Mytilus edulis: one gene and its partner. The protein of the gene in region 1 interacts with the protein of each later gene in a pairwise test. Links are inferred from orthologs where the notes say so. Each region holds a gene or a part of one and is shown on either strand. Other genes may lie near its edges.

The links.
Region 2: the proteins of electron transfer flavoprotein subunit alpha, mitochondrial-like (region 1) and electron transfer flavoprotein subunit beta-like interact in a two-hybrid assay, tested with the Drosophila melanogaster proteins (2 studies listed by BioGRID). The link is inferred for Mytilus edulis from reciprocal best matches to the Drosophila melanogaster genes wal and Etfb.

The regions. Positions count from the first base shown.
Region 1 is NC_092347.1:28,764,330-28,774,717, forward strand, and holds the start of electron transfer flavoprotein subunit alpha, mitochondrial-like, read right to left. Parts: upstream 4,116-10,388; 5' UTR 4,058-4,115; coding exon 4,016-4,057; intron 1-4,015. Other genes in the region: non-lysosomal glucosylceramidase-like, read left to right, coding at 4,116-4,375, 5,498-5,586, 6,776-6,891, 7,706-7,924, 8,892-9,131.
Region 2 is NC_092348.1:27,179,237-27,189,771, forward strand, and holds the start of electron transfer flavoprotein subunit beta-like, read left to right. Parts: upstream 1-6,013; 5' UTR 6,014-6,113; coding exon 6,114-6,170; intron 6,171-8,058; coding exon 8,059-8,217; intron 8,218-9,493; coding exon 9,494-9,652; intron 9,653-10,535. Other genes in the region: phosphatidylglycerophosphatase and protein-tyrosine phosphatase 1-like, read right to left, coding at 899-979, 2,803-2,952.

The DNA of each region.
Region 1 (10,388 bases):
TATAAAATTGTAAAGATTGTTTTGCTATGATGTGCTAGCATACAATGTTTTCAAAAAGTTCTTAACAACCTATAAATTCCAAAAAAACCTCATGCTGAGTCACAAAATTGAAGGTGTACATGAGTTGGTCCATAATTATTTGTTTAATTAAAATCTAATAAGATGGTCACCCTCCCTCAGTTGTACAGGAATCAAGATTAGGTACTTACGGAACATAAATTATTTCTATACATGTACCATTTCATGTACATGTATACAACCCTACAGAATGACGATTATGAAGATGCTTGAAACTTTTAATAGAGCAGGGATATAGACGTGCCTTTTATCTCGGACATGATGTCTTAAAGACTGACAAATTGATGATCTTTTTTTGGTGAAAGACATGATTCCAGAAATGACCTATAAATCAACACAAGCGTATAGTCCGTCCGCCCTGATTTCGGTTCGCCCTAGTTACTGTTCGCCCTTGTTCCGTTTCGCCCTGAGACCGTTTGCCCTGATTTTTATTTTTTATTATAGTGTTGTGTTGTGTGTATTTAATTTTATATGTTGAAGTCAGTCTACAATTTTGCCGAATATTTACGAACTATTGAGAACTAAGTTAGTATCTGTATGTAATTACATTACTAGAAAATCACTATCACACATCCTTTTACTTTACATTTCCACACATGATTTGATCAATAAAAATGATACATTAGGAGCACTAAAGTTATACATAAGAAAGTGTTCAAAGTTCAAAGTGTTAATTGATCTAAAATTCTTTACTGCAGCGGCTGAACGTTGTCTAGTGGGTTGTCGGACGGCTTGTCACAGTTTGGCAATAACTTTGTAAAAAATTTATTTGAGAAAAAAGTTATTTTCATTATTAATCCATCAAAGACAATTCATATAACAATCAGTGATATCAAAGATTTCAAATTATCAGCAATCAAAATTCAATCAACAGTAATTAAAAGTAATTATAAAATAAAGTGTAACAATGCAGCCAAGAATTTTATTTCATTAATATTCTGTATTTAACTTTTAATAGATATACATGTACATAAATTTTAAGGGTTACACTAAAGACCTGAAAGTGGACCTGAAAAGACCTGAAAAGACCTGAAAAGACCTGAAAATATACGACTAAAATTATTCAAATTGCAATAACTTTTTTATTATTGGATGGAATTTCTTCAAGTTGGAATTTTATTAATTGTAAATATTCAGATTTCATTCAAATTAAAAAAAAATTAAATAAAAAACAATTTTTTGATGCCAAAAGTTGGACCTGAACGGAGAAATGAAAAGACCTGAAGGGACCTGAAAATCTATGTCGGACTAATTCTAACTACAATAACTTTTTTAATATTCAATGGATATCTTTCAACTTTTGATTTTATGACACAAAAAGTTCAATATAATGATAATATGAAAAAAAATATGTGAAAAATATTGTTGGGGTGTCAAAATTCGGACCTGAACGAAAAATTCAAAATCTGAATGAGCCTAAAATTCCACATTATTTTAAAACGAAAATAATAAACATAGACGAAAAATATGATTGATAACTTTTCATGTTCGATGTCATTTGGTCTCTTGTAGAGATCTGTCTCATTGGTATCACACCACATCTCCCTATTTTTTATTGACAGGAGATACTAACATGATAAAGATTGAAGATACCAAGGAATAATCAAAACTCGGATGTCAAAACTTATAAGTCAAAGAGATATACCATAGAAATAAATAATTGAGAAAAAGGTTTGGTGTCTTTAAACTACAATAACCCCGTCACAATTTTTGTGGTGTCCCAAGTCTGGAACCTGCACTTTGTGACAAACGTCGGACCTGTTGAATGAAAAATGAAGTCCTGAATGAACCTGGATATATATAGCGTCTCGATCGGTATGATGTTAGTCTGGTGTGTTCAGTTAGCAAAGGTAATGGCAATGCAGGAGACATGCTGATATATAATAACGTTGGAAACTATACTTGTACGCACTTTGTTGAATATTTTTATTCTGACTAAAAACGATTCAAAGTTGACTATAATTTATAAAAAGTAAGAGCGTTGATCTGAATTCACTGATTAGTTTGATATATGCTTATATTTTTAATTTGTAAAGTTTATACTTGAATGAATGAATCTTTATTGCAAAGCATAGACAGGCTATGGCAAAATTAACAACATATATTACATAATATAAAACATGAATAGACAACAGAGAACAATAGTAAAATACAATGACATATAAATTGAGTTATGAGACTATATAAGATCGAATATTCAATGCAGCTTTTACATAATTACATAATTTGATCGTGAGAGACTTACTAGAAGCTTGTAGTAAATTTAATAGTTTGATATTATTAGGCCAATGACAATAGTACTTTGGTAAAAATTGTGTTCGTACAGATCTATACTATACTTTAATTGGTGACCGAGCAATGTTTAGTTCGTGTAACAAGATAAAGTGATAATCCAATTAGAAGATTAAAGTGAAATGTTTATTTAGACTAATGATCCAATTATCACCTAATATCAAAACAAGGTGTGAATTACAACCGGCACACGTTCGTGTAATTAAAACATTCCAATCGACGAACTCTTTAAATGACATATGGTTTATGGGGAAGCAATACTAATACTTTCATTTTATAAATAAAGCAGTTTACGACCAGCTTTAATATAGAATAAGAATAAAATATATATTAATGTAGTTTAAACAAGTTGTATTAGTTTGAATAATTTCAACGTACAATCTTCCTCTTTTTTCCCCTTAGGTTCAGGATTCATCAATAACAATGTACTTTGTTTTCAAATATGTTCCTGTATAAATATAAAGTCATTCGTTCTCTTCAATAGACTTTTGTCTAAAATAGAAACAAATAGGAAAACAATGTTTTGCGAGTTTAAATACAACTACCCCTATAATCCATTCATGTCTTTTATTTCACCGACAAGGTCCGAATTTTGTAACTAAATAATTATATTTTCGATAAAATTCTTTATAATTTCATTGATATATTATACCTTTCCTATAACAAAATTCATATTTCAAGGAGAATGATTGAAAACAGTTAAAGATATTGAATAAATCTGACCGCAGTCTTTTCAAGCAAATTTATGTTCCTTAATTTTCCGTTCAGTTCCGAGTTTTCACACCCAAATGGTATTTTTCATATTTTTTTTTTAATTTTATCATTATATTGAACTTTTTGTGTCACAAAAACAAAAGTTGAAAGATATCCATTGAATATTAAAAAAGTTATTGTAGTTAGAATTAGTCCGACATAGATTTTCAGGTCCCTTCAGGTCTTTTCATTTCTCCGTTCAGGTCCAACTTTTGGCATCAAAAAATTGTTTTTTATTTAATTTTTTTTAATTTGAATGAAATCTGAATATTTACAATTAATAAAATTCCAACTTGAAGAAATTCCATCCAATAATAAAAAAGTTATTGCAATTTGAATAATTTTAGTCGTATATTTTCAGGTCTTTTCAGGTCTTTTCAGGTCCACTTTCAGGTCTTTAGTGTAACCCAAATTTTAATATATATATTTTATTTCATCATTAATGTAACGTATCCATTGTACATATATATCATAAATGAAAATAGGGCGAAAGAACCCAGGGCGAACAAACTCAGTGCGAACGAACCTAGGGCAAACATGTAATCAGAGCGAACGATCCCGATACCCAAGCGTACATAATCCTTATAATCATGATACTAACACCAACACTGTACATGCTGTTCTTGCTGTATATGCATACATGTATATATTTTTTTATTTCTAAGTTTATGTTATGTAAAAATTAAATGAAAACTGTTGTTTGTAAACTGTCCTTGTGGGACATTGACTGGTTAAATGGAATATTTCATTTATATAATCTGATAATTTTACAAAAATCAAAGGTCAAAGTTGCAAAGTGACGCATTATCAATCTTTATAAAAACATATATACACAAATAATAAAGATAACTCTTTAAAATGATATGCAAAAAAAGTATTATCGTTAGTTTACCGTCTGATTAGCTAATTTTGTTCTGCAGCACCTCGAAAACATTTTTATGCAACAATATTTTTACCCCGGAAGTAATCGGACTGTTGAAATATTAAAACAAATGCGGGCAGAAACGACATTCGTATTGGTCAAGACTGACTTGCTTCCCTGCTTGCTTCAAGGCTTCAAGTGCAAGATGCCAAAACCTCAACATATAGACCATTCCCCCGAAGCTAGCATAACTACACCAAAAGAGGACATTGCCAATGTCCCCAAATTTGGTTGGAGAGTAAACTTCGAACATGAATGCAAGGACAAATGTGATCCATTTGTAAAACCCAGACTCACCCACATTCCTGAATTAATTGGTCTTAGCTATAGGTAAACGTTTTACATTGTGACCAGACATTGTACATTATGCCACATATTAAACATGGTTATAGGTACGAATTTACTAGGGTGTTTCAAGTTTTTAAACATGCATAAAGACTGGCAAGGTACTTTGTGGAAAGGTGCTGTTGCACATGCATCAAAATTGCATGCTCCTTCTAGACAAATCAAGAAAGATTTATGTTTGTTTCTTTAAAAATTTGTTGGCTAAATTGTACCGTTCTTTTGCCTCATTGCACATGTTGCAAAAATAGACTGATTAGTCCAGGATGCACAACATTTCCTATAACTGGAAATCATGGAATCTTTGCTTGTATATGATAACATTTTATTTGAATGAACAAGATTAAGAAAGAAATTTGTGTCAGGGATTTGAATTGGATGAAAAAACTTCTGAAATTTGTTATTTGTTTACGTTGCAGCCATCTATATTCCAAGGCACATATCACATAATTTCTTTTTCTATATTATTACAGCATCTGGTCTGTTTCTAACATACATGTATGTGGATGACATTACTTTTGCCAGAAAATGTTCCTTTTTATCACAAAATTGTGTTTCTACAAAACCTTTCCTACAATAATTTTGTATTTTTTTACACTTGGCAAGTCAGATGACTTATATAGAGAGATACCGTTTAACAGAAATACACCAGGAAATTTTCAAGCAATTTCTTTAATATGATTCCAATATGGCCTTTATATGAGCCTTGATGCAAATGCTCTATTCATTGAATGTTGAACTTCAGGCGCGGATTCAGAGGGGGGGTTCTGGGGGTTGGAACCCCCCCTTTTTTTTGGACGATCAATGCATTTGAATCGGGACATGTAATTGGAACCCCCCCTTTGTCCTGGGTTAGGAACCCCCCCTTTTTAAAAGGACTGGATCCGCCCCTGAACTTGGATAGTGTATTTTCCATAAGTTTAGTTCTAAAATGCTTACGGTAAATGTCAAAGGTTAAAAGAATTCTTATGTGTCTGTTGGTGGCATGATGCAAGACAAAATCGTAACATCATGAAATATTTTCCACTGCAAACAACAATTAATCTATTTATCAGAAAAATGTTATTGAATGTCGGAAAGTCTAAAACTTTGTACTGTTGGTTGTTACAGATATATGAAAGTATGGATAAAGCACAAAAGACAGGGAAGAATAATGTTTATAGATCATCTCAATCAAGTTACTCACAAGCCTATTTATGGTAAGAATTAACAGAAGACATAGTTTGTGTTTAACTGAATCCCCAAATTGAGTGGACCACTGCATCAAGTCTTGGTATCTGAGTCGTCTAAGGAGTTTATCTACTGTTTCACTAGTCTGTCCACAATGTGGTATCAGGTTTCCTACTGAAACTTGCCTCAGTGGTTCTGCTCAGAGACCTGGGCTTCAAAACTAATAAAAACTGACCACCATAGTATTGACAATAGTTTTGAAGGGTGATTTATATACCAAAAAATTCTGACAGGATTTTTTTCCTATTTTGAGACTCGTCAATCAATTTTAATATCTAGAATTGGAGACGCATTGTATTGCTCAAAATTTTTCTTGATGATCTGCTTTTATGTCGACAAACATGGTAACTTTTTTGTGACGTTTCAATAACATGTTAAATATCTGTCAATGAGACAGTAAACAAATGATAAAAAAAAAAAACCCCAAAAAGATAGCTTGTCAGAGAAAATTTGACAGGTCAGGTTTTAACAATAAACCTGAAATAAAGGTCACAGGTCATATTAAATGGGTAAAACTGATACATACTAAATTCAGGTCCCGTAACTTAGAATGAGTTCGACATGTTAGATATGATGAAATAATACAATATTTGTAGGACTTTTTTCTAGTGAGAATTCTTTAAATATACTTGTACATATTTTGCAGGTGGTCTTATAAGGGATATAGATTGTGGAATGGTTTAATCTTGTTTATTTTGCATGATTTCTGTATGGCAATGTAAGTTGTGGGCCAATTGACTGTTTCTGCCTGGGAAAGTTGTGTTGGTTTACTGTCAATTCAGAAATTATTGTGAGGTTTTTATTATTGCGAAAAATGCAACAAAGTTGTAAACGCAATAATTTAAACTAGCATTTTGAAATATTTTATATAATTTTTTTCTCAATATCCTAAAAATTGAAATCACATTTAAGTCTAAAATGACAAAATCACAATAGTAAATGCCGGCAATAATTTCTGAATTTACAGTAACTATATCATTTATGTATATTTATTACAAGTGCATGGTTGAGGATTTTTTTAATAATTTTGTAGATATTTCATAATATGTTTAGTGGTTGTCTTATTAGTGGTATGGATTGTGGTGTCAAGAAATAGAAGTTCCTTTAATCTTGTATTGTAAGAAGAATTCTTAAGATAAACTGTTACATATTTTACAGGCTGTCCAATAGGTGGTATAGGGTGTGGGACCATTGGTCGTGGTTACCGAGGTGAATTTTGTAGATTTCAGATGGTGCCAGGGATATATGAACATACTATTGTACCAGCAAATTCTGTAAGTACAATAATAACTGCAATCTTCATGACCTACCATTGTCAAACCTAATGAGAGTGGTATAATGCTATTCTGGTGTATGCCATCTGTTTGTCCATCTGTTCATTCCATAAAAGTTCTGCCACATTTTTCTACGGTATTACATTTACATATCAAAACTTCCTTAAATTCAGATTTTGAACTTTTTGTTAACTGAATACCTATAATATATTGTTACAAATTCTGACCATGTATGAAATTTAGTGTTCAGGAACTATAAATAAGAATTTTCTGAAATGTGGCATCAATATTGTTGGAAAGGTATTTTACTGTGGAGCACATGGAAAAATTATAATTTCACCATAAAATACATGACAATGTCAATCTATGATAAATTGTTGATGAGAAGTCAGTTTTATGCTTATATGATCATGGTTGAATTTTTTATCAAGTAGTATTTTCACCATGCATTTGTACAAGATACAGGAGAAAGAAACTATCGAAAATATAAGATGCAAAGAATGGGGCAACTTTAATTTCCTGGTTAAGTAACTATAGTGAGTTCTAGCATAAGGAAGATTTGTAGATACCAACCACATCAGACAGACACTGGTTATTTTTTTTGTGAAAGCAAAGTGTATAAATGGATAACTTTTTCTATCCTTTAGCCTTTTTTTAGTTTTAAAGCATAGGGTATTGATTTTGCTCATTGTTGATGGCTGTATAGTTGTCTAATGGTGTTTACATCTATGTCCTTTGTAGATAATTGTCTCATTGTCTCATCATCTTATTTTTATATTATAGTTTGTTTCATGTTTCTATCTTTGTTTTGTAGTTCATCTTGTGTATACGAAAGAACAATAAAACTGTTTACCAAAAAGTCTTAACAGGAGGAAAAGGGAAGCACTTAAAATCCTGGGAATGGGGATTTCCCAGACAGAATGCTACATATCATGCACTTTATCCCCGATCATGGACTGTATATGATATACCTGAGTTTAATCTTAAACTTACCTGTCGTCAAATATCACCCATCTTCCCTAATGATTACAAGGTAGGTTGTAAACACATTTCCCTAACTGATGTAATAGGCAAAATTGTATATATTTTCTGTATCATTTGTTATTATGCGCATGATGAGAGGATTAAATTAGCAAGCAACAATTACTCAATATAGGGCCAGGTTACATAAATAAGGTGTAATACCACAAAATCATAGTACATCACATCTGGTTGCATACGATAAAAGGATTGAAAAAGTATTCCCTTGAATTTGACAGTTGTAGGAAATTTATCCTACATTTATTGCAGTAAACAAATCTGTGTCATAGACTTATATCTTGGGTGTTTCAAAGTACCATTATGTTTTTTAATTGATTTTTTCTATAGAATATTTTGGAAACTTGAGGTTTCCTGGTTTCTTAAGCTTGTACACAGGAAGAAAAAGGTTGAAAATTTGATTGGTTAACTTCCAGTGATGGTTATTTTTTTTATATGCAATAAACATCATGGGAATTTTTTCTATAGTGCTCGACATGACGAAACTTTACTCATGCCAAGTATTTCTTTATTTGAAACAAAGATAATTTTTGCCCAATATTTTAAAAAGTGCAAATTTAACAAAGACCAATAGGGGAAAATCAATGGTGGAATTACACCATATACATTTGCAAATCTTATTTTTTTATGGTTAAAACAAATCAGTAAAACTTTACACAATGCTATGATTACAAAATATAATCATATAACATGTATAATTGCAATCATTCTTCTTTTCTTTAATTCTTGATGGTTTAAAGCTTGGATTTCACCATCGTTGAGATAAATGTCAAATTCATATCAATTTGAACTTAGACCCACCCCTGATGCATATAAAAGGGATAAAAAAAAGTATATAAAAACACAACTGCCTACACATGAGGTAAAAATGTTACTTACTACCAGAGCACTAATGGAAAATAATACTGAATATAAAGAAATACTGTTTGAAACATTTATAATTTATTTATATTGTATTTTAGGATACTAGTTTTCCAATGGCAGTATTTGTATGGTCTGTAGAAAATATGGGACAAGACTCATTAGATGTCAGTATAACATTTACCTTTAAAAATGGAAGAGGTGTGAAGGAAGATTGTAACCCTGGTAACTGGACTGAACCATTTGAAAGTGAGGCTGAGGGGCAGAAGGTTGCAGGAATGATGATCAGACAGAACATACGCGACATGAAATGTACCTATGGAATAGCTGGAGCTTTCAAGGTGTAAATTTAGGATATTGAATACTGTTCATTCTGACAATAAGATGAAAGTACATATGCTATTAGGCCTTCACATACATTTATTTTGTTTATATGAAGTTGAAAAGAATAATGTTTAAAGGTGTGTGTATTCATATCCAAATTCTGTATATGTGACAAGGTTAAACCTTTTTTTTACCAGGGATTTTTTGCTTACCATGATGTGCTAACTGTCAGAATTGTTTGTGGCATTTTTCCTTTCTTTGGAATTCTCTCATAATCTTTTGATAATATAATACTTTGATTAGTTTTTATACGACCGCAAAAGTTTTAATTTTTTGGTCGTATATTGCTATCACGTTGGCGTCGTCGTCGTCCGAATACTTTTAGTTTTCGCACTCTAACTTTAGTAAAAGTGAATAGAAATCAATGAAATTTTAGCACAAGGTTTATGACCACAAAAGGAAGATTGGGATTGATTTTGGGAGTTTTGGTCCCAATATTTTAGGAATTAGGGGCAACAAAGGGCCCAAATAAGCATTTTCTTGGTTTTCGCACTATAACTTTAGTTTAAGTGAATAGAAATCTATGAAATTTTGACACAAGGTTTATGACCACAAAAGGACAGTTGGGATTGATTTTGGGAGTTTTGGTTCCAACAGTTTAGGAATTAAGGGCCAAAAAAGGGCCCAAATAAGCATTGTTCTTGGTTTTCGCACAATAACTTTAGTATAAGTAAATAGAAATCAATGAAATTTAAACACAAGGTTTATGACCACAAAAGAAAGGTTGGGATTGATTTTTGGAGTTGAGGTCACAACAGTTTATGAATTAGGGGCCAAAAAGGGGCCCAAATAAGCATTATTTTTGGTTTTTGCACCATAACTTTAGTATAAGTAAATATAAATCTATGAAATTTAAACACAAGGTTTATGACCATAAAAGGAAGGTTGGGTTTGATTTTGGGAGTTTTGGTCCCAACAGTTTAGGAATAAGGGGCCCAAAGGGTCCAAAATTGAACTTTGTGTGATTTCATCAAAAATTGAATAATTGGGGTTCTTTGATATGCCGAATCTAACTATGTATGTATATTCTTAATTTTTGGTCCCGTTTTCAAATTGGTCTACATTAAGGTCCAAAGGGTCCAAAATTAAACTTAGTTTGATTTTAACAAAAATTGAATCTTTGGGGTTCTTTGATATGCTGAATTTAAAAATGTACTTCGATTTTTAATTATTGGCCTAGTTTTCAAGTTGGTCCAAATAGGGGTCCAAAATTA
Region 2 (10,535 bases), on another chromosome or scaffold:
AAGTATTGTAAAGTGATGATTTACTCTATGAGAAGTTTATTTTTGTAAATACGTTTTTACTTTGTAACTTTTAAACTTTTAAAAACTGTTCAAGAAATAATGATTGAAAACATGATAATCCCATAATTGTCACCTGAACAAATTTAATTAGGAACAAGGTCAACCTGTCACTGAATTGTTTTGACATCGATTAGACCTGTTGATTGAGGTGTGATAATCCGGATTAACAGCTAGAATCATCAAACAAAAAATGAAAACAATGAGATTTTAACAATTTATTACAGCACTAATGACATTAATTATAATTATTAAACTGATTCGTAATTATTATTAAATTGTTTGAATCAGAACAATAATTTGGACATTTAATCTTGTCCTTGATACTCAAACCATTTATTAAATTTGGATTAAAATATTTATCTCAATCTATTAAAATTCTTATTCATTTGTTAGAATACTTTTAATTTCATATAAATTAAGTATTCCGCACGGAATTCTCCGACATTGGTGTCCATTTAAAAAACTTCCTGTTTACCGAAAACTTCCTGTTTGCCGATTTTGGAGCTGTAACTTTTCCGAAAATGTCTAGGAGTATTATACGAACAAGAAACTTTTTTTCTCTCGTTTCTTGGACCAGAAAGGGGGTGCGCACAATACATCAATGCGCGCTATACATACCAAAAGACGGTAATTTGTTTTTTTTTACAAATTCAAAATAGGACATTTTAGTTATAAGCTAAGACAGTTCTGAATATCAAACATGTTTCTTAGTCAAACAAAAGACCCACCTGAATAAATGCAGTTGTACTTAACCCTAAAATGTAAAGGCAGTTTTGAACAATTCCAGATATACTGATCATGCTAATATACAGAAAAGAAAGAAACTGATAAATCATACCTTTTCTGTTGGAATCATGCCTTTCATTTCCCAGTCTTCATTCAAACTAATCACACCTTTAATATTTTCATCTTCAACAAGCTGTAAAAGTTAAAAGAAAGAATACAGATTATTTTTCACAAAAGTTATTGGATGTTGGATGTGTATGGATTGATAGTTTAGTCTTAAATGCATGATTTTTTTATTAGTTGTTAGTGACTTTGAACTAGCTGTCAATTAACTTTGAGTACTCTCAGATTTGTACCTAGTGTATTTTGTTGTTGTTGTCGGCCACGTTACTTGTATTTTTGTCCATCTAATGAGTTAAGCCTTTTCAACTGATTTTTATAGCTCATTCTTATGTTGTACTGTACATGTTATACCACTGTCCCAGGTTAGAGGAGGGTTGGGATCCCGCTAACATGTTTGTATTTATGTATGTGCCTGTCCCAAGTCAGGAGCCTGTAATTTAGTGGTTGTCATTTGTTTATGTTTTACCTTTTTGTTTTTCATTCTTTTTTTGTACATAAATAGGGCCTTTAGTTTTCTCGTTTGCATGTTTTACATTGTCATTTCGGGGCCTTTTACAGCTGACTATGCAGTATGGGCTTTGTTCATTGTTGAAAGCCGTACAGTGACCTATAGCTGTTAATCTGTGTGTCATTTCGGTCTCTTTGGAAAGTTGTCTCATTTGCAATCATACCACATCTTCTTTTTTTATGTGACATGTTCCTTTATTATCATTTTTCATTGTAGTCTTTGTAGTTAATAATTTTGTACAGTCCAATGTCCTTGACAACATACATGTAGAGTTGACCTATTGCTTATAGTATCTTAGAAATAGACAAAACCATGAAAACTAAACATTGTTCAATGAACCATGAAATTGAGGTCAAGGTCAGATGAAATCTGTCAGTTGGACATGCATATACTCTTTACTATCAATCAATTCACAAATTTCATTTGTTGTTTATTATCTTTTTCTAATTTAGTCCTTTCGTAATCAATAATTTTGTTCAGTCCAATGTCCATAATCAAATAGAGTTGAGTCTTGACCTATAGCTTATAGCATTTGAGATATAGACCAAACACAAATACTTAATATTGTTTACCGTAGTGAACCATATAATTGAGGTCAAGGTCAGATGAAATCTGTCAGTCAGAGTCAGACATATACCCCTAACAAAATTCCATACATCAAATAAATTTGACCTTTTGCCAACAGTATTTGGGATAAGGACTTCACCTACCTTTAACCTTGGTTACACATCCACTGAAAAAAGGTAAAAGTCGGGTGTACTGAACCTGATAAACCTATAGACGTTGAAATTACCCATATATACAAAATGTAGTTTGAAAAAATCATTTTATTTCAAGCAGTTACTGAACTATGAAAATGAGGTCAAGGACAGTGGACAAATGACAGATATAAACTAGTTAACAGAGGTATCTGCATAAAAAATATTAAGCATCTAGGTCTTCTAGTTCAACGGTCTAAAATATAAAGCTTAACACAAATGGTTTATGCAGTGACTGTTGCTGGATGTCTCACATCTTGTACTTTCTGCACTTGCCAGAAAAAAAGCAGACATAAACATGGTAAAATTTGTTATCAAGTTAAAAGTATATCAAGTGTATCTGCATCATCACCCTTTAAAAGAAAAATCATTGCAGTTCAAATGATGCCTATTTAGAATGTTCCCATGGGTGTTCACAGATTGTGTGTTTTCCAATGTATCATAGTATTAAGAAGCTGTATTTTGAAATTTTGGTTTTGGGGTGGGTTTATTTTATATATATTTTTGCTTAACAGCAAAATTTGCATTAGATGTGCAACATTTTTTTTAAATCCTCAAAGGGGGAGAAATCAATATGGCTGTTTTTTATAATTTCTATTAAGGGGAAAGCACTAACGATGGTTATACCTTTTTACTATTTTCCTTCAAGGGGAGAGCACCCAATACCACTGTTTCATCAATTCTGTTGTACCATTGTCTGTTTGTTATCTTTGTCATAAGTTTGTTATAATACAACGTTGGATAGAAGGCAATCTTCCCAAATAAGCTTCCTGACATAATCAATCTTTATTCTTCTATTTTCAAGCTGCACCAACACCTAGAAATATAAAACAAATGACATATGCATGAAATGGAAAATATTTAAAAAATAAAAATCAAATCAAATATTTTATTTTTCCAATAAGGGTCCCACAAGGGGCATTTACAATTAGCAATTATGATAGTATAAGCAACAAACATGAGACATTGTACAGTATATAACGTGACAGATATTATAAGAAACAAATGAAAATAGCATTAATAACAAAAATACATTAAAAGTACTTTTTTTTCCTTCCTTCCATCCTTTTAACCATTATTATTTAATTGTCCAGCAGTGCACAAATAAAAAAATATTAATAATAAAGTTTGAACAGACTTAAATTATTATCTATAAAGATGGAAATTTGTTCATCTGCAAGAGACACCAAGGGACGGTGCTCAAGGATATACTGTTGATTGAGATAGGCAATAACAGCAATCCTTCCCGTGTCAGAAGCAGATGAACAAAATAAATAGAGAAACTGAATCCTGTCAATTAACAAATATTATTTTAAATAACAACAATGAGGGGGGATAGGAAAAAATGTAGGAGGGGTCCTGATCCCAAAATCCCGGGCTTAAAAACACGAAATCCAGAGGTCCCAAATTTAAATAAAGTAAATCCGGAAATAAAATAAAAAAAGAATTCCCGAATCCCAAAGGGTCAATCCCGAAATCCCGAGCTTAAAAACACCTGATCCCGGAGTCCCGATAAAGGTCCTATCCCCCCTCAACAATAGCTAATTTTGCGAAACATGTAATATTAATCTGCTATTTGCAGTGTTTAACCAGGAATATACACAACTCTTTTAATACTGTTACAGTTGAGTTCTCACAAGACAGCAGCCATAGCAATTTCTCTTGGGAATTTAAATTAATGAAATTGGGACATGATTCAGAAATAATTTGATATAACTGATGTCTGTCTTACAAAAAATAAATTTTTATAAAAATAATATTTTATTGTTGAATTTTGTATGCAGTAGCATTTTTCAAAGTACTTTGTTTATCCCATGAAATATCAAACATTACCACATAGTACCAGAGGTAATTCAAACAAAAAATATACCCTTAAGAAAACAGATTTACAGAGTAATTGAGAGATTTATATTCTAAAGGACAATTCATCCAATTCATCAGAACTACATCATAACATACTCAGCTCTGCATTAAAGAGTTATTATGATTAAAGCAAAATATCACACACAGGGTTTCTTTTGAGATTGGGAAATGATGATGTAATATTTTTGACATAAATTACTAGCCAAGATTTTTTTTTTTTTTTATCTGTCCTACATTCTATTTATATGCATAGTTGTTGTCACTTTCTTTCGTATATCATTATATAGCAACATATAAATGAAAAAAAAACTTTCATTGTTTGTAAGATGCAATCATAATAGTTTTAAATATAAGAATGTAGGACAGAAAGTCACAGGACAAAAAGTCACAATTCATTTTTTCTAATTATTTTCTTTGAATAAAAACCACTTATTTCTACTTTTCTTGAGCTATTGTATATAAACCAACTTTGTTAACAAAATTTATCAAAAATATATCAAAGATGATCAAATAATTGCTAAAAAAAACAAAATGTCAAAGTGGTTTGGCACTTAAATGGCTTCATGGTGCCAAGAAATATATCTTTTGCCTGATTAGAATTAAATAAATCTTGATTTTTCAAGTATAATGACACATTTCCTAAACTTTAATAATGTTGCAATGTTTAGATACCTTTTCATGTTAGCACAAGAAACAACATTTCGATCGCCATCGTTAGACAAGATGAAAAGTATTCTAGACAATTGTGGATTCTCTTACTTATGGTCATTCCAAAACACATCACCTAACATTAAATCGATAATTAAACAAAGACTAGAAGATCAGTTTACACAGTCATGGTCAGGAAAGGTAAACGATTCGCCGAAAGCCCTGAATTATCGCCTATGCAAGACATCACACAATTTCGAACACTACCTTAACGTACTTGATGATAAAGATGTAATAACAATGTCGCGGTTTAGGACAATGAACCATAAACTGCCGATTGAAAATGGTAGATGGCAAAACATTCCCCGAGAACAGAGAAAGTGTCCGTTGTGCAGAGTTGCTATAGGTGACGAATACCACTATGTAATGGAATGCAGCAGTCTCTTAACAGATAGAACACTACTTATTGACAAGAAATGACTAACAAACTTTAATGTTTTAAAATTTAATGCTATTATGAACCAAAAACAGAAATCTAAACTTCGAAAATTGTGCCAATTTATTAGAATTATAAATGACAAACTGGATTCTCTCTGATGTTAACCTGTCGGCTATACTGATCATACTGTTGTAAAAAACTCATATTTAATGCTTCCTCAACAAATGTACAATACTACATATATGCAATGTAATGTAAACTAATGTGTTTTTCTGTATACCTTTGTCCAACTTAGGTGATACCAGAATAAAATGATATATAATTTATATATCATTTTATTTATATGAATATATGTATTTATAAAAGTAAATATTTCAAAATATTTCTCTTATATATATATTCAAATAATTGTCAACAAATTATTTGTGACTTTTTGTCCTATCAAATTTGTGACTTTATGTCCTGTGACTTTTTGTCCTGTGACTTTCTGTCCGTTTATCTATAAATAATATCAAATAAAGCATAGGTACGAGTTGATAAAAATAGGGTACGAGTTGGTTGAGTACGAGTTGTCGTATACAACATTGTCATTGAGTTTAAAAAATCATATTCCGGTATACATGTTACTGAAAAAAGGTTTCTTTTTTCATTTAATTCGAAAACTGTTTGTTCCTAAACATTGACACTTAGTAGCAGGTCTTTTTTATATCAACATTTACATTTTCACATTTCACATGATTCTTTGCCAAACTCTTCTGTCTTTGAAAACCACAAAAGTTATACAAAGGATAACTTATTATTCAAATGTTTTTATAACCTTTATTCTTTTTTTTTTTAACTTTAGTTTGCTTGGTGTGGTAAAGTTTAATTGAAATTCTAATAACTTTATTTTTAACAGTGTAATTTTATTGACGATTTATCCATTACAATAAAAATTAAAGTTGTCGTTATTAGGGCTCCAATAAATTCTCCCGGTTCAAAGGTCAAAATGTCAGCACTGAGAGTGTTAGTTGGTTGCAAAAGAGTTATAGATTATGCTGTTAAAGTAAGATATTGTCACCCTATAGGAAATATTCATAGCAGTCTAAATAGTCAGGACAACTTTTTACAAAATATGTTAAAAAATATGTAACAAGCGTTTGGTTAAACATGTTATTTTTTTGTTAAAGTTTAACCTTTACCACTTTTTTATTTAGAGCTTACACTTACAAATGACTTAAGTATCATCAATTACATAAAAGACCATATTAATTTCACAAATGGGCTAATATGTAAATGTATAAACGATAAAGTAATGAAATGACATGTCACACAAAAGTCTCTGTATTCAGTGGCATGAAAATTGTAGCTATAGCCTATAGTTTTTGTCCTGGGACTATAATAATTTATACTAAGAATAATAATAGAATAAGTACAATAGTCCCCCAGCTATGCCCATGGCCTAAAGTGAAGCACATACACTAAACATGGGAAATGGAACAGGATCTCTTTGTGTAAGTGTCAACTTTGCATATTTAGGTTCCTGGCAGATGATTCTAGAGTTCCTGGAGGGCCCTAGCAGGATACATATAAGTGATGCAAAATCCTGCATTATCATTATGCTGCAACTCTAAAACAGCCTGTACTAATCTTTAATCATGTTAATGAAGTTAATCCAACAAAATCTTTAAAGGCATCAAAATACAAATGTTAGAATAGCACAGGATGCTTGCCATATGGCTACCTTATTTCAAGTCTAATCAGAGATGAGTGCCAAAATCAAATCATTTCACTTTCAATTAATGAAAGATTTGAATTGTATTCGTATTCATAGCCAATTTCTTTACAATTGTTATTGATATTGATTTCTTATTAACTTCAATCAGCTTTCTATGACAATTTTTTCCGAGGTCAAACTATTTTCTCTTCAGTTGTTTGGACAGAGTATTAATTGAAAGAGTTATCTCCTCCTTTGTTTTTATTTCATGATATATATCGCAGCTGACAGAGTAGAGGTTACATAGGAATCCTCATATAGGTTTGTGACCATTAGTCACTTTTTGGAGCTTCCATATGATAGAGAACCACTTTTTTGAAATTGTCATTTTAATGTAATGTATTAAATCTCTAAGGACATGAAGGATAGGTTAAGCTATTGTCATGATTGTCTTTTTCATTTTCACAATTCCAGAGTTTAAATTCAAACTTGTGAATTTTGGATAATAAATGGAAAATCCCTTTTTCAAATTCATTGAAATTTTGAAGGACTGTTTCTGAGAAGCACAGGTTGAGTTCATTTTCTTCATCACTCTTGCTGTTCCAGAGCATTGTTCATGTTGTTGCTTGATAATTGAATTAAGATCAATATTTTGTGGTTTCTTAGGATTAAATGGAGAACCATTTTTAATACCATGTGTATGAAACTGAAGGAAGTTTCAATCGAAGTTTTGACAACCAACTTAGATTAGGTTTGATTAGCATTAAAACCGATATTGTATGGTTAGTGATATTGAGTGACTCCAAAAGGAATTTAAGTCATGTAAGTTCTCTACGGTCAGTAGGCTTATTATTGTCTTGTAACACAGATTTATTCATTGATAAATAGAGGAATACATCATTTCTGATTTAATCTACTACACTTCACATCAGCATGTTTATTACGGAAATAATACCCTATGGAAAATCCATCATTGAATTTTTATGCTGGTGTACTTCTTACCAAAAGGAAAGAGGTCCTTACCAGGATAAAAATCACTGTTACTGACACATTCCACTTCAACTTTAAGTACATTGGTGTTTATTATATGAATCTAACATAATTATACAGTGATTTGCAGGAATACTTTTTTGGAATATAAATATGTAAAGAGCAAAAGTTATGTAAGCAAGGTAAAATTTGTAATTCAATGTTTCATATGAATGATAACAGTCATGCATTCTTTTTATTTGAATAGATTCGGGTGAAGCCAGATAAAACTGGTGTGGTAACTGATGGAGTCAAACATAGTATGAACCCATTTGATGAAATAGCTATAGAAGAAGCTGTTAGACTTAAAGAAAAGAAAATAGCATCAGAAGTGATAGCTGTGTCATGTGGACCAAAGCAATGTCAGGTCTGTTTACATATGAGTTAAATGAGTTAGGTCAAATATGATTATCAGGCATAAATATAAAATTACTACTTAGATATTGGAAGATGTGGTGTAAGTGCCAATGAGACAACTCTCCATCCAAATAACAATTTATAAAAGTAAACCATTATAGGTCAATGTACGGCCTTCAACACAGAGTCTTGGCTCACACCAAACAAAAAGCTATAAAGGGCCCCAAAATTACTAGTGTCAAACCATTCAAACAGGAAAACCAACGGTCTAATACTTAGCATGTTTAGCAAACTAAATGTTAGAGACAGTAAACTTGCAAGGAATGATGATAGTTTTAATTAACAGATCTGTACATCTGAATTTTTATCATGTTTATGTAGGATAACATAGTTGCCATGTGTTTATGTTAATTCCCCTGATTTTTAAGCTAACAATTCATTATTTTATCTTTATAGAATGTGTTACTCTTCTGACACAAAATGTATCGAACAAATTTCTAAGTTTGTATTTTGTAATGTATCATAAGAATCATTAATTGTACATATATTGTCCTTACCACTTGTTGTAAAGCAAACAAAAATCAACCAATCACAGATTTCCTTATAATGTTCAAAATGTTTTCAGTGTACAAAATGGTAACATTTTGCTACAGAATTTAAAATATGCATGACTATAGGTGTAAAACTGAAAGCGTCTCTTAGTGTTGAGGTCAGTTGTCCTAGATTTTCATGATCCATTATGATCTTAATATATATTTCAATGATGATTCATGTAAAATTAGTTGATGGAATACACTCATAGGAATTTATTGAGCCATGTGATCTATGAAGGAAATATCTACCTTACAAATAAATAAAGAATAACACTTCACTTTTATCCAAGTCAGAATTTGTTTAAAAGAATTAAAATGTTAATCAATAAAGAGATACACACTTATCTTTGTTCAATAAATTATCTTTTAAAAAAAATTAGAATTTTCTTTTTCCTGTGCTCTTTAAGTTTTCAATTGATATGATGGTCACTAGTCACTAACTTGCCTTGTGTAGAAGTATCTGGCATACTTAATTTATATCATAAGCCTTTGATAACTTTTGCTGTTCCAATATACAGTACAAATTGAAATAGCGTTTGAAGATTGCATGACATACTTTGATTTCATATTTCAATGTCTGCAAATTTTAAACCTTCTTAAAATTCATGATAATGGACTCAAAAGTGGGTAAGCCTATTGAAGATTAACATGCTTGAAGTATTGATGGACTAAGATTTTTTTTAAATATTTCAGGAAACATTAAGAACTGCACTAGCCATGGGAGCTGACAGAGCCATACATGTTAACATAGATCCTAAAGATTATGAAACTTTACAACCAATTCACGTTTCCAAATTCTTAGCAAAAATTGCACAGGATGAAAAAGCTGACATAGTAATAGTTGGGAAACAGGTAAATAACTATAAGATTTTTATTGTATATAAAAATACATTCATGGATAGATATCAACATGTATTACATTGTAATTTAAGTTATCTCATTAACCTAATTACTGGTCATATCAATCTAGAGAGCCATATCTCTTGCCCGTTAAAGACACCCTTGTAAATTTCGAAAAAGAGCAGGCTAATGTAGCTACAAGGCAGCACTCCCACCTGCAAAGTAAAAAGGGATTAATATAAGTTGCAAAACTTGTTTCCCAATCCACTAAAACCAACTATATTGAAATCTAATCCTAAAAAATACAGAAATAACTACTTTTATTTAAAAACTATCAACAATAGAACTTGATTAAAACATTCAGCTGATTTTCACAAAGTTATCTCCCTGTAGTGTTATGGTCCAACTTAATTCAAAATTCAGAATATATCCATAAATTAGTCAGGACCTCAACTTTTAAAATATTTTAGGACCTCAATAGTTCAATTTCAGGATATCCAAAAATATTTGATTTTTTTTGCAATATATGGTGTTAAACAAAACGGCTTATAAAGCTCCATAAGGTTAAACAGATTTTGTTAATTTTTTGGTGTGACATAACTTTATACTTATACCATAGATTTTGTTGAAACCCTCACTCAACTTGATCTTCATATTCTGAAACAAATATTTTAAAAAGTACATTATTTGAATGTTGAATGACATACTGTAAACCAACTTATTTTCGCGGATACTTTAATTCGCGTTTAGCACTTTCAGGTCGACTTCGTGGAGACTTAAGTTCACGATTTTTTAATTAACTTGATGTTTTTAAATAAGAAGAGATCTAAGTTTATCATATTCACGACGATTTATATTCATGTTATTTTTCTACTCGCCAAAGTCAAGAAAATAA